Danio rerio: one gene and its partner. The protein of the gene in region 2 purifies or fractionates together with the protein of the main gene of each other region. This does not show direct contact. Links are inferred from orthologs where the notes say so. Each region holds a gene or a part of one and is shown on either strand. Other genes may lie near its edges.

Region 1 (5,008 bases), on a different chromosome or scaffold from region 2:
GGGCTCTGACGGGCGAGAGAGACGCAGGTACACCACACATTATCACGGATGATTCTGATGCTTTCAGTTAAGGCTGATTTAGACTTTTGCATCAATCGCACATGTATGCTCTGCGGCAGATTTTGTGCAGTCGCATAGCCCTTGCCAAGGCTAACGCTTATGCTCACGTGAACCTCTCATAAAATGTAACTACACGTCACAGCAATGCATACCGCAAGCTCTATGATTGATCTGCTTGGTAGCGGTGACAATTGTGGGTGGTGCAGAGTGCTGCGAGCTTGGAGAAGTGAGTGTTTACAAGTGTCGAGTCCTGTGAAGGAGCTTCAGATGGAAACTTTTGTTTTGTGTTTACCTTATAATAAATGTTGTTGCTCGTCCGCTGGTTCCCACTCCAGCTAGCATTTCAGAGGTGTTATTGCAGAACAACACAGCCTGCCCGCAGAAGTATAAATGCAATCGATTAGTGCAGATGTTTAAACCAGCCTTTAGGGATGCTCTGATTAACTAGAAATCACTTTATTTGACCTAATATTTATTGTTTGTTTGTTTGTTTGTTTTTATATATATTTTTAGGTGTATGTTGTGTGTTTTGTCTTTGTTTGTTTGTTTGTTTTAATTTTAATTTGTTTTGGGGGGGTTTTTGACTAGCTTTTTGTGGTGCTTTATTTGGTAAATATTTTATATTTATTTTACATTTTTTTGGTTTGTTTGGTTGCTTTAACTTTAATTTATGTTTTGTTATTTTTAGTTAGTTTCTTTGGGATTTATTTTGTGTATTTAGTGGTGTTTTTTGCTATACATGTTATTTTTTATTTTTTATTTGTTTATTTGTCTGTCTGTTTGATTCCTTTTTGTTTTTGGTTGTTTATTAGTGCTTTGTTTTTTTTTATTTTAATTCATGCTTTATTATTTTTATTTAGTTTTTTGGTATAGTTTTTTTGTTTTGTTTGTTGTCTGGAGTTTTTTGGTACATATTTTGTGTACTTTATTATTTGTTTTTTTGTTTCATTTTTGTTTTTGGTTGTTTATTAGTGCTTTGTTTATTTTAATTTTATTTTTAGTTAGCTTTTATTGGTATTTGTTAGTTTGTTTTGTCTATTCTTTGTTTTTATATATATTTTATATTTACTTTTTTATTTTTATTATATATTTTTTTTCTTTTGGTTGTTTAGTAGTGCTTTGTTTTGGTTTGCTTTTTGTTTTGATTATTTGTTCATCATTTAGTGTTTTTAAAACTACTAGAAAGAAAACATCCAAAATACATGTTTAGATGTTTCATTCATTTATTCAATTTATGTCTGTTAATTTATAATCACAATATATATTTAAATGCTTTTTTCTCAAATAGTTTTTAACATATTTTTTACATTTCTGTTACAAAGTGAATATTTGTTGTACTTATTTATTTGGTTCTTAATTAAAATGACAATAAACAACACGACATTCCATAACACAACCTAGGCAATAAGTGTGCAATCTGAACATCATTTTAGGAAAATTACGATAGTCAACAGAAAGCTTGCAAAGTACTTTTATGATTTGTACCAAGATTTGCTGATCATTAAACAACACATTGTTTTGTAGTTTCTAATAAAGTGGAAACTTTCCTACACATTCTTCCAAAGCCTTTTTTTATGAAAACTGCTTGAACATAAGCATGTGTTGCTTCAGCTGTGTTTAACCTGCAGGGCTGTGTGTGTGTGTGTTTGTGTGTGTAGATCGTACCTCACTCCAGTACGAGATGAAGAATCTGAGTCTCAGAGGAAAGCCAGATCCAGACAGGCACGACAGTCCAGGAGATCTACACAGGCAAGTCTAGACACTCATCTAATAATAGACACAAGTGCAGAACAGTTTACAAACCATTGGAAGATTTTATTGGGTTTAGCTTCAGCTTTTTAGTTTATTATAAACCAGGGTTTTGAAATGTGGTGGGAAACTATTGGACAAATTAGTGTTTATAATAGAGGAGAGATTGACCAGAAGCTTTAAAGAAAAATCACTAACTAAATGTAATAATTACCAGCTCTAAAAAACCACTATAAACATTACATTATACATGATTTACTTGTGTGTTACGTTATCATGTGGTAAGACCTATTTTTAGATAATGTAGGTAGTTAAATGTTTAAAATGTGAATCATCTTCCATCTTTATTGTACTTTTAGTTTTAATTCAATAAGTCTAATTATATTCATATTATTATTATTATGATTATCATTAATAATACAGATTGAAATTTACAACATCAGTGCAAAATCAGCTTTTTATTATGCAATTTTATTTAATTAATATTAAAACCCAAATTTTATTTGTCTAAACATTATTTGAAAAGCTAAGTTTGATGCATTTGTAGAGCTGAAATGCTAATCTCTTTGTGCTTTTGTGTATAATTGTAATAATAATAATAAAAAATGTTGCATTTTTAATAAAATTGAATTAAAAGCAATAAATATGAATTTTTTTTAATAAAAAAAGTTTAATTTAAAATATTAGTATATTCTAATGTTATTACAATTTTAAAATATGTGTGATATGTATTTAAAACCTTTTTTTACCATACACTGTCCAAATCTTTAATAAAATTGTGTATTTGTTTCATGTAGTATTAGCAAAATGTTAGAACATTACACTTTTTTTTTTTTTTTTTTTACAATTACACTGATCATGGGTCTACATATCTTGTCTTATTTTAGCAGAAATGAACAACATAACACTAACCCTTTAAACTTGTCATTTTTTTAGGGTGTGACATTGACAGACCTCCAGGAGGCCGAGAAGACCATCGGTCGCAGTCGCCCCACACGGCCTCGAGAAGATGAAAAAGAAGAGAAGGAGAAACAGGACAAGGAGAAACAGGAGGAGAAGAAAGAGACCGAGACCAAGGAGGATGACTACAGGTCGCGCTATCGTAGCTTTGAAGAGGTTAGAGAAACTCCCAGTTACACTTCTGTGTTACTACTAGCGGCTACTTTGTTTCAAATTATTGCTTACTCTTTTTAAGTTTCCATTCAAAAGAACTGAAACTAATCATATAAAATGCAGAGACATCCAGATCTGCATTTGAATCCATATACATCAATAACGCTACTCTTGGTATTTCAACTTAACTTAAGTATCACAACCATATTTCAACCGTATTTTGTTCCTTTGGATTAATTTTCTCTATGTATTTCCTATACAGTAAAATAATATTCAGAATGTGTTAGCAATATTGCTCTGAAAATGTTTTTTTTTTTTTTTAATTATAGTCATTATTTAAGGTTTGCTAAAAATTTTTTTTTATTAAGTTGCCTTTTAATTAATGATGGATGAACTGTGGGGAGAATAAGGACACTTCATTGTACATAGTTTTTTTTTTAAAAATCATTTTTTTTTTACAGTTTAACAAGTAAAATAATCCAAGTTTCTCATTTTGCTTTTTGTCCTTCAGAAGTATCGCACCTCGTTGGCCTCCAGCACCACAGCGTCCTCCACCATCCCTTCATCCTCATCCAGTAGCTCGTCTTCTCTGTACAGCACCTCGTCTCTGAACCGACCCAACAGCCTGACGGGGCTCACTTCAACATACAGCCGATCTACACGCGACACCGACAGAGGTACACAAATATCAACAAATATTAACAAATATGAACTGGCCAGTTAAGTTGAACATTTATGGCAAGTCAATGCAGCTGAATAGGGTAGAAATAATCATCTCCTTTACATGTATTTATTAATCAGACCCTTTTATCCAAAGCAATTTACAAATGAAAAAATCACATGACTTTATGTACATGCTGGAATTTATTTTGTAAATGTGTTTCTTTTCCACATTTTTTCTTCTAAGATAAAAAGTTCTACTCAGTTTTGCGCATAAGTATTTTCTAAAATGTATGTGCATTTTGATGTCTCTTTGGCAATAATTTCTATGCAAAGTCAAAATTCTTGTTTTTGGCATATTAGAGTGAAAAAAGTGAGCATTTTGGGTATCTGTTTATCACTCCATAATTCAGAAAACACTGGAAGTAGAGTAACAATTTGTGTTTTGTTTGGTTGATTATTTAAGAAAATATTCCTCTACAAAACCCATTAGAATATAAGAATAAAACTGAAATCAAACTCCTCTGCTGATGTGGAGATTTATTGCTCAATGCAGAAGAAATAACTCATTTTTGAGTACTAGCTTTTACAAATATTTATTATAATTGCAATCTAAATTTAAAAAATGCTTTTGTTCCATTAGACTTATATTTTTTTAAGCAAATCTCAAAAATGACAAGTGAATATTTTTTTTCCTGTGTGTGTGTGCGTGCGTGCATGTATATAGTGAAGATGGTTTTGATATTTTGTTTTGATACATATTTTAGTTACCTTTTTTAAACCATCATACTTTTAATTATAATTTTTTTAAAAAAAATTTTTCGCCCAGGACTTAAAAAGCACACAAGCCTTTGTATTGTATTGAAATAAAAAAAATTATTTGCTGATTTTAGTGTTGAAAACCGTTTTATTTGATGGTTGAAATTGAAATCGTTGTCACTTTTAATCAATCCAGTAAATTCTTGCTGAAAGAAATATACATTTCTTAAAAATAAATACAGAAATTGCACAATAGTGTATTTGGTTTGATATGCAGCCAGTTTATATTAGTTACACTGAAACCCACAAACCATAACAGTATACAAAGAATACTGGCATTAGGCTTTCAATTCATTTTTTGACATTTATTTTTCTTCCTTCAGCTTGCCCAGGATTTCTGTCACAGTCTTAAATAAAATGGGGATTTCCACTTGTGCTTTAAGTGTATTGTTAGTGTTTTGGTGTACTCATAAAAATATCACGTGTCTGTTTCCTGCCCAGAATCTGATCGAAAAGAGAAAGATGAGGATAGAGACGGTGATGACAAGTCTCAGCCACGCTCTATACGCGACCGCAGACGACCTCGAGAGAAAAGACGATCCACTGGAGTGTCCTTCTGGACCCAGGATGTAAGAGAAACCTCCTTTGCATGAACGCACACACACAC
Region 2 (5,560 bases):
CACAAATACTGACACACACACACAGACAGACAGACAGACAGACAGACAGACACACACACACACACACACACACACACACACACACACACACACACACACACACACCTGGTTCTGCAGCAGCGCAGGTGTTGCTGTGGTTCTGTCGGATCTCCCTGAAGAACAGGATGGTCTCCTTCAGGTTCTTCTTCAGGAAGCCGCTGTGTTTGTTGTAGTGGTTGAAGGCTCGGGTCAGCTCCCGGGGCTTCTGCGGGTTCTCCATCCTGATCCTGGACCGGAACCGGAACCGCAGTCTGCGTCACATGCCCGAGCACAGAGATCCCGAACGAGCCGAGGCCCGAACCGACACCACCGGGGCCGGAGAGAGAGTGTGTGGTGTGTGTGTGTCAGCGCCTCAACACACACTCACACACTCTCAAACACACAGGAGCGCGCGCGCTACCGTTAACTGACGCTCGACGGCCGCGGTTCGGCTCCTCAGCACACACCCGGAGGCCGAACCGGGTCGCGGTTTCTGCTCGGCGGCTGTTCGGCACCTCGTTCCCTGCCGGCGGCCGCAGATCATCGGTAATCGCGGGCTCTGCGCTGCTTCGGCTCGGAACGGTGCACTTTTTCAGCACAAATACGGGAGTTTAGCGCTGCCAGCCGCCGCCGCTGCCCGTGCATTTGGAGAGAGGGACGGTCGCTGGGCGGGGCGAGGCTGCGAGCGGTGCACGCTGGGAAATGTAGTCCTCTTGGCGTCACAAACCCACGCGTAGTAATCAAAGCGTAGTTGTCGTTTTTTTTTTTTTTCATTTTATCTCTATTTTTTAACATTCATCTTTTGTAAGAACTTTCACCTCTCTGTTCTTGTAAACGTTTTTATCAATTAAAATAAACTGACAGATTTTTCCCCCTTTTTTAAGGATCAGTTTCACTCAGGCGCCATTGTTGTTTTGATTGTCAAGTAGCTCTCATAAACTGAACACGTCACACACGTGCAGCATTTCCATTAAATCACACTCATGTGTACACAGTGATGACGAAAGGGTGTTTATAAACTGCAAACCGCTCCTCACACACACAGACACACACACACAAATATGTAATTTGCAATGGCACATAAACAGCAATGTTTAGCCTGCGAATCTTCATGTGTAGGTTGTGTACAGCTAAAAACAAATGTCAATTGATCACAATATAATGATTTTCTGTAAGGCTAAGAGATAAAACAGCGTAAACAACATTTGCAGTACATACTTGAAGTGTAGTGTGGCACATCTAGGGCACATCTGTTGCGTTTACAGTGTCCTGGCGCCCTCTAGTGACGCAAACTCTTCTACAGTACCTTGTTACACTGTTAAACGAAAACTGTTTATATGATTACATTTGCATTATATTATACAATGTATAAGTACATTTCTTCATCTTAAGCAAAAAAATAATAATAAATAAATAACCCAGAATTTTTTAATAATAATAAATGAATAAATAAGAATATATATATATATATATATATATATATATATATATATATATATATATATATAAAAGTGGAAAAAAGGTCCGAATGCAATAGGTAATAAATGCCATCAGACCTTTATAAAATAAAAAATAATAATAAAAATTAATTTTTTTCGTAATACAATAATGTGATTTTCTAATAATTAATTAATTAGTATTTTCATAATTAATGATAAATGAAATATTGGGTTTAAGAAAAGCCGTGGCCTTTTTGGCAAAACTACCAAGTAAACAAGCTTCTTCGGGAATTTCCCTTTGATACACACCTACTACTGCACTTTCACTTTAATTAGTCAAACTGAATAAAGAAATGGGAAAGTTTTACAGCCGCACACTTTAAAGTCAACACAAGCGCCTTATCAGATAAACTAGACGATATTTGTGATCTTTGTTAATTATTATAAACGCGCTTCACTTCAATAAAGTCAGAGACAAAAAATAAGAGACACGCCCACCTGTAGATACACAATAAGGGGAGGGGCGGGCACTTACGGTCAGCACCACGCCCCCACTGTACTAGTGTCTCAGATGCTGCTGCGCGCCGGTGTGTTCGCGACGGCAGCGGCTCATGGAGAGTGTCGGTGCCCCGGAGGCGCCCGTAAAACGGCAGGCGGTGAAGAGACACCACCACAAACACAACCTCAAACACCGCTACGAGTTCCTGGAGACCCTCGGAAAGGGCACTTATGGCCGGGTCAAGAAGGCCATGGACCGGTCCGGCACAGCGGTGAGCAATAAACACCACATACACAACACTGAGGTAAAGTTACTTTACATTCACACATTCGGACTTTCTCCTTAAAATAATCTAATTTCACTAAAATATTTTTTTGCAAATTGATAATCATATTAGCAGCCGATCATATAGTGTTCACAGTCTGCTTCGAGTCTTACCTGTACTTTCAGACCGAATAGTAAGAGACGATGGTAAACAATAGACAGCATGCCACAAGTTATCACTGCCCGAATGCGCCAATATAAAATCAGCTAATTTCGCGCATTAAATGTGTTTCACATTAACACCGCGTTAAATGTGTTTCATAGTATTTATTATATATTACCTGAGTAAAAAAATCTATATTTTTTCCGGGTTTTCCTTCAGACTAATGTCAGTTAGAGTTTATATTTATCGTCATATTTTAAAGAACACGTTACATTCTATTTAACGTTACGTGTCTAGGTGTTTTCTAAATGCTTATTAACTGTCATGTGAAATCCTTATTCTTTGACTTGCACAGATTTGACACCTTATTTACACTGTATAAAATGGTCGGTTTTTGTCGTTAATCCAACCGTTGGATTCAAAAATTCTGTTAAATTTAAATGACACTTTTAAACCCAACGGTTGATTTTGTCCATATGAAAACCAGAAGGAAAATACTATTTATCTCCGATTCATCTAAATACTTATTAATTGTGAAGTGAAATAATTATTCTTTGACTTAAACCACTATTCTGTACACATTTGACAGTATTCATCTTATTTACACTGTAAAAAAAAAAAAAAAAAAAATTTAAATGACACTTTTAAACCCAACGGTTGATTTTGTCTGTATTCGACCAAACATTGGGTTACTTACAACACTCATTAAAATAGAATGAAAATGCTATTTAAGTGTCCCAGTCTTCATCAAAATACTCATTAATTGTCATGTAAAGATTCATTCTTTGACTTAAACCACTAGTTTTTACAGTTATTCATCCTATTTGCGCTGTATAAAATGCTGGGTTGTTGTAACCGTTAGTTTAATTTAAATGACATTTTTAAACTGAACGGTTAGTTTTTGTCCATATTTGACCAAACATTGGGTTACTTGCAACACTTATATTAAAGTGGAATAAAAATACTGTTTAAGTGTCTCAGTTTCTTCAAAATACTCATTTATTGTCATGTGAAATCTTCATTCTTTGACTTAAACCATTAGTCTTTACATGTTTGACAGTATTATTCATCTCTTTTAACTCTATAAAATGCTGGGTTGTTGTAATCATTGGATTAACTTTTTCAGTTAAATTTAAATGACACTTTTTAACCCAATGGTGAGGAGACACAGTAGCTCAGTGGTTAGCACTGTGGCCTCACAGCAAGAAGGTCGCTGGTTGGAGTCTTGGTTGGGTCAGTCGGTGTTTCTGTGTGGAGTTTGCATGTTCCCCCCATATTGACGTGGGTTTCCTCCACAGTCCAAACACACGTGCTATAGGGTAATTGATGAACTAAATTGGCTGTACTGTATGAGTGTGTATGGGTGTTTTCCAGTACTGGGTTGCGGCTGGAAGGGCTTCTGCTGTGTAAAACATATGCTGGAATTGTTGGCGGTTCATTCCGCTCTGGTGACCCCTGATGAATAAAGGGCCTGAGCCGAAGGAAATGAATGAATGAACTCAGTGGTTAGTTTAGTTCATATTTGACCAAACATTGGCTTTTACAACATGTATTGCAAACATGAACACAATTAAATACTATTTAAGTGTCTCAGTTTCATCAATATAATCATTAATTGTCATCTGAAGTCATTATTCTTTGCCTTAAACCACACATTATTATTCTTTTTTATTCAAAAGTATTTTATTTCAACAAACAAAACCCGTCACACACATTTACATTTAGGTTCTATAAAAATAAATAAAACATTTTAAGATAAAATACAAATAAATAATAATATTAAGTAAAACATATTTTACTCTCATATACAGTTGAAGTCAGAATTATTCGCTCCCCTCCGTTTATCTTTTTTCCCAATTTCTGTTTACTGAATATCAGATTTCTTCAGCACATTTATAATCATAACAGTGTTAATAACTCATCTCTAATCACTGATTTATTTTCTCTTTGCCATGAATACAGTTAATATTATTAGACTAGATATTCTTCAAGACACTTCTATACAGTAATCAGGCAAGTTATTGTATAACTATGGTTTGTTCTGGAGACTATCGAAAAAATACAGCTTAATGGGGCGAATAATATTTGACCTTAAAATGCCGTTTAAAAAATAAAAAACTGCTTTTATTCTAGCCGAAATAAAACAAATAAGACTTTCTTCAGAAGAACAAATATTATCAGACACGCTGTGAACATTTCCTGAATCTTTCAACACCATTTGGGAAATATTAAAAAAAAAAAAATCAAAGGGGGCGAATAATTCTGAATTTAACTGCATATAAGGGAAGAAAAGAAAAAAAAGAAAACAGAAAAAAAAAATACAAGAACAGGTTCTACTCCTCTAAAATGACTGAGGGGTCCATCTCCTTTATGTGATCTAAAACAGGTTGCCAGATGAGAAGAAACATCAGTACAGCCTCCTACAGTATATCGTATTTTTCTAAGGTCAGGTGGTGTTGGAGTTCCATACGCCATTGCTTAAAGAGTGGAGGAAGTTTTCCTATCATTTCAGCAATATCAATCTTCTAGCTAAAGCGAAGCAAAGGCAATCACATTTATCTCGCTTTTATTAAACCACAAGCTTTTATTCTAAACATGTTTTGTTGTAAACCAATGATTGGTCATATATGTACATGTTATCTAAATTTAAATGACACTTTTAAACCCAACAGTTGGTTTGGTTCATATTTAACCTTGGGTTACTTGAATGAAAATAATGAATTGTCATGCGAAATCTTTATTCTTTGACTTAAACCTCTAGTTGAAAATACTAGTTTACTAACCACATTAAAATACTATTGAAGTGTCACAGTTTGTCCAACACACTCCTTTATTGTCATCTGAAGTCTTTATTCTTTGCCTTTTAACTCTTTATTGTAAACCGATAGCTGCTTTTCCACTATCGTGGAATAATCCAATAGCCTATTGTTTTATTCATGGCTAGAGTAAGAATTTGTCTACAGCTTGTTAGTTTATTGTGAAGACAAAAATAATTAAAATAGCAAAAATAAAATGATAAAAATACAAAGATAAAAGAGCAGCATTTTGCTAAATATAATAGTGCTTTATTTGCTTTAGATCCTGATATTTACGTGTTGTTTCATATTCGTTTATTATTTCACTTGCTGCATTCGTTATTTTATCATTATAATCTTTTGATGTAAAGCCGCTGTGTAA

What was found.
Region 1: the proteins of nuak2 (region 2) and ppp1r12a purify together in Homo sapiens (affinity purification with mass spectrometry; 3 studies listed by BioGRID and IntAct, counting the BioPlex papers as one, with this or other methods). This does not show direct contact. The link is inferred for Danio rerio from reciprocal best matches to the Homo sapiens genes NUAK2 and PPP1R12A.

What each region holds. Positions count from the first base shown.
Region 1 is NC_133179.1:22,104,976-22,109,983, reverse strand, and holds part of ppp1r12a (protein phosphatase 1 regulatory subunit 12A), read left to right. Parts: coding exon 1-27; intron 28-1,718; coding exon 1,719-1,809; intron 1,810-2,745; coding exon 2,746-2,925; intron 2,926-3,433; coding exon 3,434-3,599; intron 3,600-4,842; coding exon 4,843-4,970; intron 4,971-5,008. UniProt on the Homo sapiens protein: Key regulator of protein phosphatase 1C (PPP1C). Mediates binding to myosin. As part of the PPP1C complex, involved in dephosphorylation of PLK1. Capable of inhibiting HIF1AN-dependent suppression of HIF1A activity.
Region 2 is NC_133197.1:522,931-528,490, forward strand, and holds the start of nuak2 (NUAK family SNF1-like kinase 2), read left to right. Parts: upstream 1-2,043; 5' UTR 2,044-2,068; coding exon 2,069-2,227; intron 2,228-5,560. UniProt on the Homo sapiens protein: Stress-activated kinase involved in tolerance to glucose starvation. Induces cell-cell detachment by increasing F-actin conversion to G-actin. Expression is induced by CD95 or TNF-alpha, via NF-kappa-B.